Linked DNA regions of Drosophila melanogaster. The protein of the gene in region 3 interacts with the protein of the main gene of each other region in a pairwise test. Each region holds a gene or a part of one and is shown on either strand. Other genes may lie near its edges. The genes, in order: CG33191, dati and CG30324.

Evidence for each region.
Region 1: the proteins of CG30324 (region 3) and CG33191 interact in a two-hybrid assay, tested with the Drosophila melanogaster proteins (one large-scale study listed by BioGRID).
Region 2: the proteins of CG30324 (region 3) and dati interact in a two-hybrid assay, tested with the Drosophila melanogaster proteins (one large-scale study listed by BioGRID).

Annotation. Positions count from the first base shown.
Region 1 is NT_033777.3:8,777,856-8,781,614, forward strand, and holds CG33191 (uncharacterized protein), read right to left. Parts: upstream 2,069-3,759; 5' UTR 1,982-2,068; coding exon 551-1,981; 3' UTR 524-550; downstream 1-523. Other genes in the region: Pif1B (PFTAIRE-interacting factor 1B), read right to left, coding at 1-72; Pif1A (PFTAIRE-interacting factor 1A), read right to left, coding at 72-86; CG33189 (uncharacterized protein), read right to left, coding at 2,344-2,877.
Region 2 is NC_004353.4:393,896-397,654, reverse strand, and holds the start of dati (datilografo), read left to right. Parts: upstream 1-2,049; 5' UTR 2,050-3,759.
Region 3 is NT_033778.4:16,287,086-16,290,392, forward strand, and holds CG30324 (uncharacterized protein), read right to left. Parts: upstream 1,149-3,307; 5' UTR 1,056-1,148; coding exon 561-1,055; 3' UTR 501-560; downstream 1-500. Other genes in the region: CG9068 (uncharacterized protein), read left to right, coding at 1-365; CG30099 (uncharacterized protein), read right to left, coding at 1,186-1,839; JhI-26 (juvenile hormone-inducible protein 26), read left to right, coding at 2,287-2,523, 2,867-3,307.

The DNA.
Region 1 (3,759 bases), on a different chromosome or scaffold from region 3:
GTGGGATGCCTCGGTTTGTTGATGGCGGGAGTTGGGGTCGCTGTCGGAATGTCGCTCATGCTGCATGTACATCAGAGCCGGGCATTCTGTGGATGAAATGTTTGGGATAAAATAAATATCTAACAAGGATTTTATACATCAATTCAGGTAAAATAAGAATCTGTTAATAGCCGGCCTTCTGTAACCCTTCAAAAATTCTTGGCTACTTCAGGTTTCTTGCAAACATCTTGACTTGCACGATATTCCGAAACATTGAGCCTTAGCCGCTTACATAAGGTAAACGACATAAGTATGCCTTAAAAAATCAAATCCGTAAACAGGATTTAAAATGTGGGAAATTTCAATAAAGAGAAGTGATTACAATTGACATATAATAGAAGAAAACTGATCAGCAGGAAAGTTAGCACGCTTACGATATTGTGGCGGCTAAGGCTCGAAAATTCGAGCACTCTTAACCGATACCGAACCGATTCCTAAAACCGTTTCAACTCGATTCCCCGGCTAGAACACACATAATTCGATTCGATTTGATTCGGTGAGCAAACACATTTTATTCGATTGGATGGCTCGTGGGTACGAGCAGTTCCTTGATCTCATTGAGTTGGATCTCGCGACCCCGCGTGATTTCCGGACGGGACCACATTTCAGCGTGGTACAATTCTAAGAACTTGGCCTCCGCCTTTTCGCGGCACGGACAAAAATCGAAGTAGGAGGTCTGGCTGCAGACCTCCCGATCCTCGAACTTAGTGAAGATGGTGCCGCGCTGTACGCATCGGCAAACCTTGACATTGGTGTGCTGCTGGTTTGGGGCAAAGGAGCGTTGCTTCCACGGACACATGCAGCAGCCACAGTTGCCGGGACAAAACACATTGCCTTCCTCGTCCATAATAGGACTGGGATCGAAACGGCACGGCGAACAGTTGGAGAACTCCTTGTTTTGAGGCAGGGCAAGGTAGTACCGCTTGCTTCCCGGCGATCTTTCCGGCGGCGGCGGTCCCATTTCTTCTTCCGGCTGCGGTCCTAACATCTCCTGCTCGCTAGACAAGAGCTCATCGGATTCATCCGACTCGGTGATCGGGTGTTCCGGCTCTGGAGCATAGATTATCAAGTGCTCCTTCGGGGCCGTTGGTTCTATCTCCACCAACGGTTCTTCAATTGGCAGTGGCTCAGGCACTGGGGTAAGAGTGAGCTCTGATTCGATATCCGGCAAGGTCAGGCAGGAGATTGAGATGACCTCCCGTGCCCCCGGGTCGTGCCAGCGGCAACATGTGGCCGGAGTGCAACGGTTACACTGAGATGTTGAATCCCCACAGCTTCCTATGTATACCGAACTGGCGGACCCTTCGGCTAGCTGTTGCGATGCACATGGACGAAAGTGTTTGCTGGCGGATTTACCTGAGCTGGGCTTTGGAGCCCTTGGACCGGAACGCATATACTGCTGCGAGCGGCACTGGCAGATGGACTCTTTGCGATGCCTGGTGACCGGTTGTTTCTTTTGCTGACACTTGACCATCTTGCCGCTCTGCGGATTGAACTCCAGCGGCATCTGGACGGTGACGGGCTTTCCGTGCAACGGACAACCAGCGCGACCCTTCTTGGGGTCCACCAACCGAGCGGTCAACTCCAGGGTGACGGCACATGGCTGATTCCAACCACCTGACTTGTCAAAATTCTTGAGTAGCATCTGTGTGGCATTGGCCGCCCGTTCCAGGGCATCCCGTATCGCAGCCGGATCATCGAACTTGCACCGGCTGGTGGCACTACGGCCCTCCTTTGGCGAGTCCTCACCCGGACCTTGACAGTCGTAAAATAAGTCCTGTTCGCTGCGCGTCTGCTGGAAGTTTTCGCCTACGAAAAGCAGTCGGGTGGAGTCCAATCCGCGACTCAATGTCATGGAGCTCTGGTTAACGAAATGACTCCGGGAGTAGTCACTCCGAGCGATGCTTGGATCGATGGGCTGATTAGAGAATTCCTCGTCCATCACGCTTAAAGAGCTTGAACTGTTTTCCCCAAATCAAGCTCTGAACTCACATTAAATTTTAAAGTGTGTGTTGCCTGCTCGATTGTGTCTAAAATACTGATACCAAATGGAGCACAATAGTGACAGTATTGAAAACGTGACCTCACTGGCCTGCTAGTAACTCCTATGAATTTTCGATTTTCCTACGCTGTTCTATGTGTGGTGTAGCCAAAGCAAAGCGAAAATTTATAAAGATACCCAACATACCCAGCAATTACCAGTGAAAAAAATGCATTTCCCAAACATAATCCAATTTAGTCACCAATGAATTTTGAGAAAAAACAACTAAGTGAGCAAGACGTGGCTCTTGATAAGTTTAAAATTTACGTGTTTTGATTAGGTTCCTGGCAATCGGGACACACTTCATCCTTGTTGGACCACTTTACACTCGATCTTCTGCTCTTCGACTTGTTCTGATTTCCAGGTGCATTGCATCCACAAAATGTGCCAATTGACTTGGGCTGGAAGATGTTGACTTTGACCTGGCCGCTTTCCGGATTCAGTTCGATTGGCAGCCTCAGGGTCACTGGGTCGCCGATTAACTTGCACTGCCTGTCCTTGGGGCAAGGACACTTGTCGTCCGTATGTAGACGGGCACTGACCTCCAGGGTGGCCGGATAGAAAAGTGTCATCAAAGGACGAGTTGGCACGGAATCAGTGCCTCCGTAGCACCTTAGCAACCGCTGGGTGGCAGTGGCTGCCCGCTCCAAAACGGCCCGAATCTGGACAGGATCGTCAAATCGAGGCGCTTGCTTGCAGATCACTTCATCACCACCGCCCACTTCCAGATCTGGAGTCTCCTCGTCGTCACTGCGGCAGTCATAAAAGATGTCTAAGTCCTCAAACTCGCCAATCATAATGCTCAACGTTTAAACAATTTGGATTAATCTGATGCCGTTACGAATCTGCCGATAAAACAGTCTACTCTATACAAAGACAATAATCTCAGAGAACTATTGATGTTGAATTATAATGTTCCTGGTTAGCTTCCTATAATTAGATCTAATCTGAAGATCTTATACACGGCAACCTTCAAGGAGACCGAAATAAGGGTCAGTCACTTGGTAATTTACATTTATGTTTGGTGTATTTACATAGAAATAAAGCTCTATTTCTTAGCTCTGAACAAGGTGGAATTGCTCCTCTCCACGGGAATGTAGACAGTGCAGCAGAACTCCGATTCCGCCTTGTGGTTATGGAAGAGCAGAAGTCTTGTGTGGATTCGCTGCTCGATTTGTTGCAAAAGCGCCGAAGATGCAGGCTTAAGGGCCAACTTTAGGTTATGGACACAGTCCAGAGCAGCCACAAATCCTTCATAGCTCTCCTGCGTCTTCTGAGTACTCTTTTCAATCCACATGTCTTGCAAAAATTCAAGATGCTCACGGAAATCCTCTCCGCCCTCCCATAAGTGAAGAAGACGGGTCCGGAATGCGGCAACATCGAGGTATCCGTCCACGGCGCCCTGAATCAAATCCACGAAGCACCTGGTTCTCAGAGGCATCAGGAGCAGTCGTTGCTCCACACCCACATCGACCTGTGTTCCACACTCAATCGTCTCTGGTTGAACTTGCATCTCCTTTTCATTGCACTGTGTCGTGACCTGAACCTCCTCCTCCAGGGTTTTCACCTCGTCCGTTTGTACAAATGACACGCTGGCCAGAGATTCCCAATTAAGATTAACAACTTCAGCGTGAAGGGAGTGCAGGGAAATTCCGGATCTGGCCGAGTGAACCGAGTGA
Region 2 (3,759 bases), on a different chromosome or scaffold from region 3:
TAAAAGGAAAGCTAAAAGTGTTTCCGTACTATCAGGACAGTTTGAGGTAAGCGTGACCGGGTTTGACGTGCGTAATTGAGCCAACCTAACAACACGTTTTCTGAGCACAAGTTCTCAGCTTAACCAATTGAGTCAAGTGAGTTTGAACATTTGGTATGCTCGGTCTGTCCTTGTATTTAGCTGTACACTGTAAGCCCATTTTTAAGACCGCGGGACCCTAGGTTTTGCCTAAAGCTCATGCGTAGCTGTCGACCGATTGAACCTTAGATTATGTAGATATGTATGCGGATTGACTAGTTGTATTTAGACTGACTTGATAGAATTTCGGGTTTATGATCTCTTTTATGAGATGATGTGAATGCGACTTCATGGTAGCCTTGTCTACTATCTCACCAAAAGGCGTCAAAGTCCTCTTCGATCACTATCCAAGATAGCAGCCAAATACCAAAAGATACTATGTACTATACTATAAGGTATTTATCAATCATGTACGACTGCTGTAAAATATATCTATGGGAATAGCACATAATTTTCAACAAAAAAATAGTGGGTTTCCTGTAATTTTTTTTTACTGAGCATGTGTATACTTTTAAAACAATATTCAAATTTGCAAGAAGATATTTATGTACATACATATACCCTAGGTATCCGCTTTTTTCCACGCCACGAATTGTTGCGAATGCATGCATGTATGTGTGTACATAAATAAATATAATATTAAAGAAAATCGATAGAGGTCGATTCCCACAGACCAAAGCACAGACCAAAATCGATTGAGCAGCAGAGGTGGCGGCTAACGTTACCTAAATATGTACATATGTATATGCTGCAGCATACACGGCTGCACATTCATTTTGAAAAGGTAGGGTTCAATAGTGTTTTCCGGATGCCTATGTGCTTTGCGAGCCGCCCACTTGATTGTGTACGTGTTTGTACATAAGAACTTCACATAAGCATTAAAATGCATACTGCCGCACCGTGACGAAGACCAGAAATGCAGCCATATCGCACATACATGCACAAGTGCAGCGCAAAACTCGAGCTAGACAGAAACAGTTGGCTGGCTGTCCGGCGGCGGAAGGGAGATGGCTGAACGTGGACAGAAACAGGAGCTGGGCAGGGGTAGTAACAGGGCCAGGAGGTGCCAGAGAGGCCTTGAAGTAGACATTAAATCATGCACAAATTTGCATTCCACCGACCAGAACGGACTGTGCTGTGGTTGCAGCAAGACAGCAGGGAGGAGGTCGGTTTGCTGGGTGGTTGCAGTGGTCATCACGCTGCAACGCTGCCATAAGGGATGTTACTGCGGAAGTGCAGCGCTGACGGGACCCGACGACCAACGACGAGTGCAACAGCCCCCCTCCGCCTGCTTGTTTGAGAGTTATCAGTTGGAGAGGGCGGCGTAGGGGATGATGCAACGAAAACGCATATGAAAGCGGCATGGGCCAGACATACATATATGTTGTACACTGTACGCACACAGACTCACGTGGAGTGAATGGGCGCTGGGCAACAATAGCATGCAGCTTAATACACTTGAAAAAAAGACCAGAAAGCCATATCCCGCGCCTTAGACGGAGAAGGGAACGGGCAGGGCTAGACAGAGACTAGAGGCCTCATCAGGTCATCCCTACAAGGTGTAATTGAGGAGCAATAAGAATATCAATAAGCTCTCCGAGCTTAAGAATTGTAATTCAGGAATTGGTGCTTTATTGAAATTTTTTTATTCAATTTTTTTTTGAGTGTAGAGCTGCAACTGCAAATGCTGAAACAACTGCCACTGCAACTGCAGTTACCAACAGCGCCGGCGCTGGCACAGGTTCCCTGTCCGAGTGCAAGGATCTGAATCCACATCCGCCGCTTTCGCTGTTGTTGTCGCTCCCGCTGCTGTCACTTTTTGTTTAACACACAATTTTTATCTTATAATAAGCACACCGCTGCTGCCAGCTATTTCCCCAATTCGGCACCCGGCTGTCTCCATCCCAGTCTCCAGCTTGGGAAGCAACGTATGCCGAGGCGATGATTTTTATTCTCAATTATTTTGGATGCGGCATTCAGAAACGCAATATTCCATGGAGTAGAACAACCGACTGCGGATCGTCCTGACCTCGCGGATCATTTTTATTTTATCAAATGTGCTTAAACCAGATATAAAATGATTGTGGACTGTGCTAAAAACTAAAAACTAACCAAATAATAGAGTTGTTTGATAAAAAAAAAAAAACAAAGCACAAATGAATTGCTTGGCAATGCTTACTTGGACGATTTCATTTGTGTTTTACTGAATTCAGATGAAAATATGAAAACAATATTTCTTTTAATTTAATTTCAGATCATCATAATTTTAACAAACACAATAGACCAAAAATCGTTTTTAACAATAAAGAAGAATCCGTAACTAAACGATCAAATCGACAAACCTAACTCAACCCAGCCATCTTTCAGTTTTAAACGCAATAGAACAGATGCATTAATTAACTAAGTTTTCTACACCTATTACCAAAAAGGAAGAACCACATCAACATTAACTTCATCACCAATCCGAAAAATAACATCTAAACCAATATAACCTAACATAAAAACAGACCAACGAGAAAACCCATTTAAAAATTACTTTTTAGACAAATGAAAAATATAATTTACAACAAAATTGAAATCAAAAGTACAAAACGACATTAATGAATGCGCAAAAGAATTATAAATTTAATACAATATAAAACTGTATGTTTTAGTAACGATTACGTGAAGATTTAAGTCCAAACTAGGCTACTAATCGAAAATATGATTACGTGAAGATTTAAGTCCAAACTAGGCTACTAATCGAAAATATGATTTATATGATTTACACAAATGTGTACATAACCATATAGTCATTTAAATTGCATATATAGTCTCTTAATACTAATTTAAACAGTATATAATAAAACATTTAGATTTTCTACAGCTACAAAATACACTCCCTGAATGATTACCGAAGACACACTGACACCGGAACAGACAGTTTGAACTATCACATACCCTACAGCTAGCCCTAGCATAACCATACGTAACTATACACCAAGTCGCTTATTATTTTTTAATGATAAGAGCAATACTCAAAAAATAATAGTATAGATACATGATTAAGCGTGAAGAGATAGTGGTTATTATAGTAAACAGTACGTAAAATAGTATATAAAATTAAAGATATTGCTACTATAAATAATCAAAATATCATTCTTCGGTAATATAATGGACGATATTTTAAACTAAATATTCGTTTAAGTTACAAATGTGAACCTCGAATTATTTTAAAATTGGAATATATCATATTATATTTTTATATGTATATTAAATTATGAGACGTCACAATGCGTACATATGTAGGTATTTCCGAACAATACAAATCTGGGCATCAAAATAGTAGATCGTATCGGGTAACAAATTGTGATTCAAACGTTTACAAAATTTTTAAATTTATATGTAAACAAATTCAAATAGAAACTGCATCAATCTAACTCCATGTTTTGGGATAAATAGGCGATAAATGAATTTTATAACCAATATATCGCGACACCGTAACGTGTGCCTTATTCCGGCCTTAAGTTTAAATGACTTTTAATAATACATCAAAAACCTAATTCAAGTATATATTAAGCCCACGGACATTCAACTGCAAAGCCGTCGCACGTAAAAAGTCAATAGGATATAGGATTTTCTAATATAGGACCATTACCTGATTGGTATGCCGCCCATCACCTGCGACGTAACCGTCATCGT
Region 3 (3,307 bases):
TGCGACGCAACGAGCGTAATGTGATGAAGGTTCCTCGTACCATCCGTGAAACGGTGGCTGCCAAACAGCTCTTTGAAAAACTCCTGAAGGATGTGCCAGTGAAGCAGTCCGCATTTACTCCGATGCTGGAACTCTTCGTTCTGCTGCACAAATACCAGGTGAAGCTTAGCGAGGAAACATTTGAGCAGGTTATGGGATTGGAAACGGCTTGGCTGCATTACCTTCAGGTGCTGGAGGAAGCGGATGAGATGCTGGACAATGAGGACAGTGAGGCCAAGTTGCTATTGGCCAAGCACGGCGAAAAGTTCAAGTTGATATTAAAGGATTTCCTGGAGGATTTCTATTCCAAATTACCCAAGAAATAGGAGTATCATAACTATTATCATAAGTGATAATCAATTTATTTACATTAAATTTAATTTGCACACCTACTAGCTGAGTAATGGGTATGTGATAGTCGGGGAAATTAACTATAGTGATTTATTGAAAAACATGCAAATACTTCTCACATTCCGAACTTTTATTAAACTCTTTTTTCCCCAATTGAGTCCTGCCCAGGATTACAAGTCATAGCAGAGCGATTTATTGGTACAGGGACAACCATCGATGCCGTAACGCCCAATCGGAATGTCCGTCTGGGTCTCCTTGTGCTGCGGTCCTGGCAACTCGTAGAATTTCTTACCAAAGTATCGATCCGGGAGATAGTACGATGGATACTCCGCCCTCAGCCTCTCGTGATCCTCCCGCAGAAATTTTGCCAGTTCGGGAGTAGCCCGTCGAGCTTCCAGGCGATACTGCTTCGGCTTGGCCATTCGGATTGGAACTTCCAGGTGGAGCTTCGAGTGCGGTATGTAGGACAGCAGCTCCTGGTCGAGTTTCACTGCCTGCTCTGCACGAATTTGTGCGCAAGTGGCACACTTGCATTTTCCACCATGGTAGCAGTACCGCTTTCGTCCATCCTCGTCCACCATCAGCAGTGGGGTGCAGATGGGCGACGGAACCGGTTGTGCCTCCGTCTGCGTGGCAACCGACTCCTGGGCGGGATCGGAAAACATTGTGGAAAGAGTGGGGTTCAAATCGGAAAGGTACGAACGATTTGGATTGCAGAATGAAACTAAATATCGGAGAAAAACAGATGTATTATCAGCAAACTCCTTGGCAACTAGATATCAAAAATTACAAATTTTAAATTAAACATTTTATATTGTGCAGCTTGATTAAAGTTTCCAAGTGGCTGGAGACACCTCTGCTGCATCCACAACTAAGTGCAGAGTGAGGATATGCAGCGGAGGAGTTCCACAGCCAGGTGAGATCCCCATGCCGATCACAATCTTTTATCCTCAATCGTTTATCCCCCGTGCAGTAAATGTTTTTGCTGAGATCCTTCTTATCCCGCTTCACAAAACCACAATCCGGACACACATGGGACATCGCTGGATTTCTTTGTGCAGCCTTCATCTGAAGATAGTAATCCTTGAGCTTTCGCTGACGCACTTCCTCGAAGAACTCGCGCATTTGTGGCGAATCCCGAACAGTGGGCTCCTCGATGGGCTTCCTACTCGCTTGCATTGGACAGACGACATCGTCGTGTTGAGCATTCTTCGACATTTTCAACTGATCGTGTCGGCCGCTCGTTATTTTGCCTTTTCGCGAAGAAGAGGACATATATGACATGTTATCCAAATCCGTGATCCTGATCGAAGCACTTGTCCTCTTTGGCACTTTGGATGGCATGCTGATATCTCGACTTTGCTGCGATCCATTCGTGAACTTTCGAACGTAGGTGTTGGCCCTGGTCATTGACCCGGTCGTTTTGAGTAAATACCAGTTGAGGCCCATTGGTAGTTGGTCGATAGTCGAACTGCAACGGTAGGATAGCTTTTTCTAAAACTGGAAATTTTGACTAAAAATATATCGATACCTGTGATTATGGAAAATAGAACTTAATCCAAAGGAATCATTAAACTTTGCACACAATAAACAAAAAAAAAAAACTAATTAAAACTAATAAATAGCGTATCCCCCTATCTTTGCGTCATGATATCTTATCATATCATTTTAACATGCCAAATTGCATCATGCTAATCATTAGGTAGGTACTGCTTCTCTATAAACCATAAAGTGCTTTTAATGATTAGAAAGCTTTTCATTTCCAATTCGCTCTTATCGTGTAATCTCTAACAACGAATGAGCTTTTGGAGAGTAGTACAAAATGAGCTATATGAAATGGTTTATGCTCATTCGCTATCCACAAGCGAAGCGGTTGGGATCGTCAGTACCGACGAAATGGAGAAGATCGAGGCTGAGAGGCAATGGCTGAGATACACGGTTCTTCCGTCAATTCTGAGGAACGGGCGCCTGGTGGACAACTACAGCGAGTCCAAGGTGACCACATTCCATGTGGGGGACATCGACATTGATGTAATTGGCCACTCGGAGGCCTTTATGCTAACTTTTTGCTACCGGACAACCATTAATTTTGAATACGACGGGCAAAAGTTTCAGCGAAAAATGGTGGTTAAGGTAGGTTTATTCCATTCACATAGTATAAATAAATCTTAAACAATCTATCTGGATATCTAAAAACACAACGAAAAGATTTACTATACTCGCGGAATTTAAATTATATTATATAAGTGCCTTAACTGCGTACTACTTACCAGTTTTGTTTTCCAGCAAACTCAGATAGCTTAGTGAGAGTGTGGGTTTTATGGCAAACATTGTGAAATAGAGGGAGGCATCTCAACAAAAGAACAAAGCGAATTGATTTTGAATTCAAAATAAATCACATCTAATGATGAAGTTTACTTTGGCATGCAATGACCCCAGAATACCAATAATTAATTGTTTTTTTTTTTTTTTGTAGAAAACACCTGCTATGCCACCAGAAATGTATGAATCCATACAGTTTGGGCCCCTTTTTACCAACGAGATAAATTTCTATACGGAAATTCTGCCAGAGTTTCAGAAGTTCACCGATGGCAAGTTTGCCGCACCCAAGTACTATTACGGCGAGTTGAACCAGCATTCGGCTGTGGCCATTCTGGAGAATTTCGCGGAGCAGGGATGGCGGGTCACCAAGGATCGTGTGGGTCTGAGTCTGCAGCACGCCATGATTGCCGTGAGTTACCTGGGAAGGTTCCATGGCTTTGCGTACGCCATGAAGCACAAGAACCCGGAAAAGTTTGCCCAGCTGACTGACAATCTGAAGGAATCTCGCTATGCCAACGATAACATTCATCCGGAATGGAAGCTCACCATGAAAACGAGCATCGATCGAGCGGCCAAGGCGGTGGCCACCTATCAG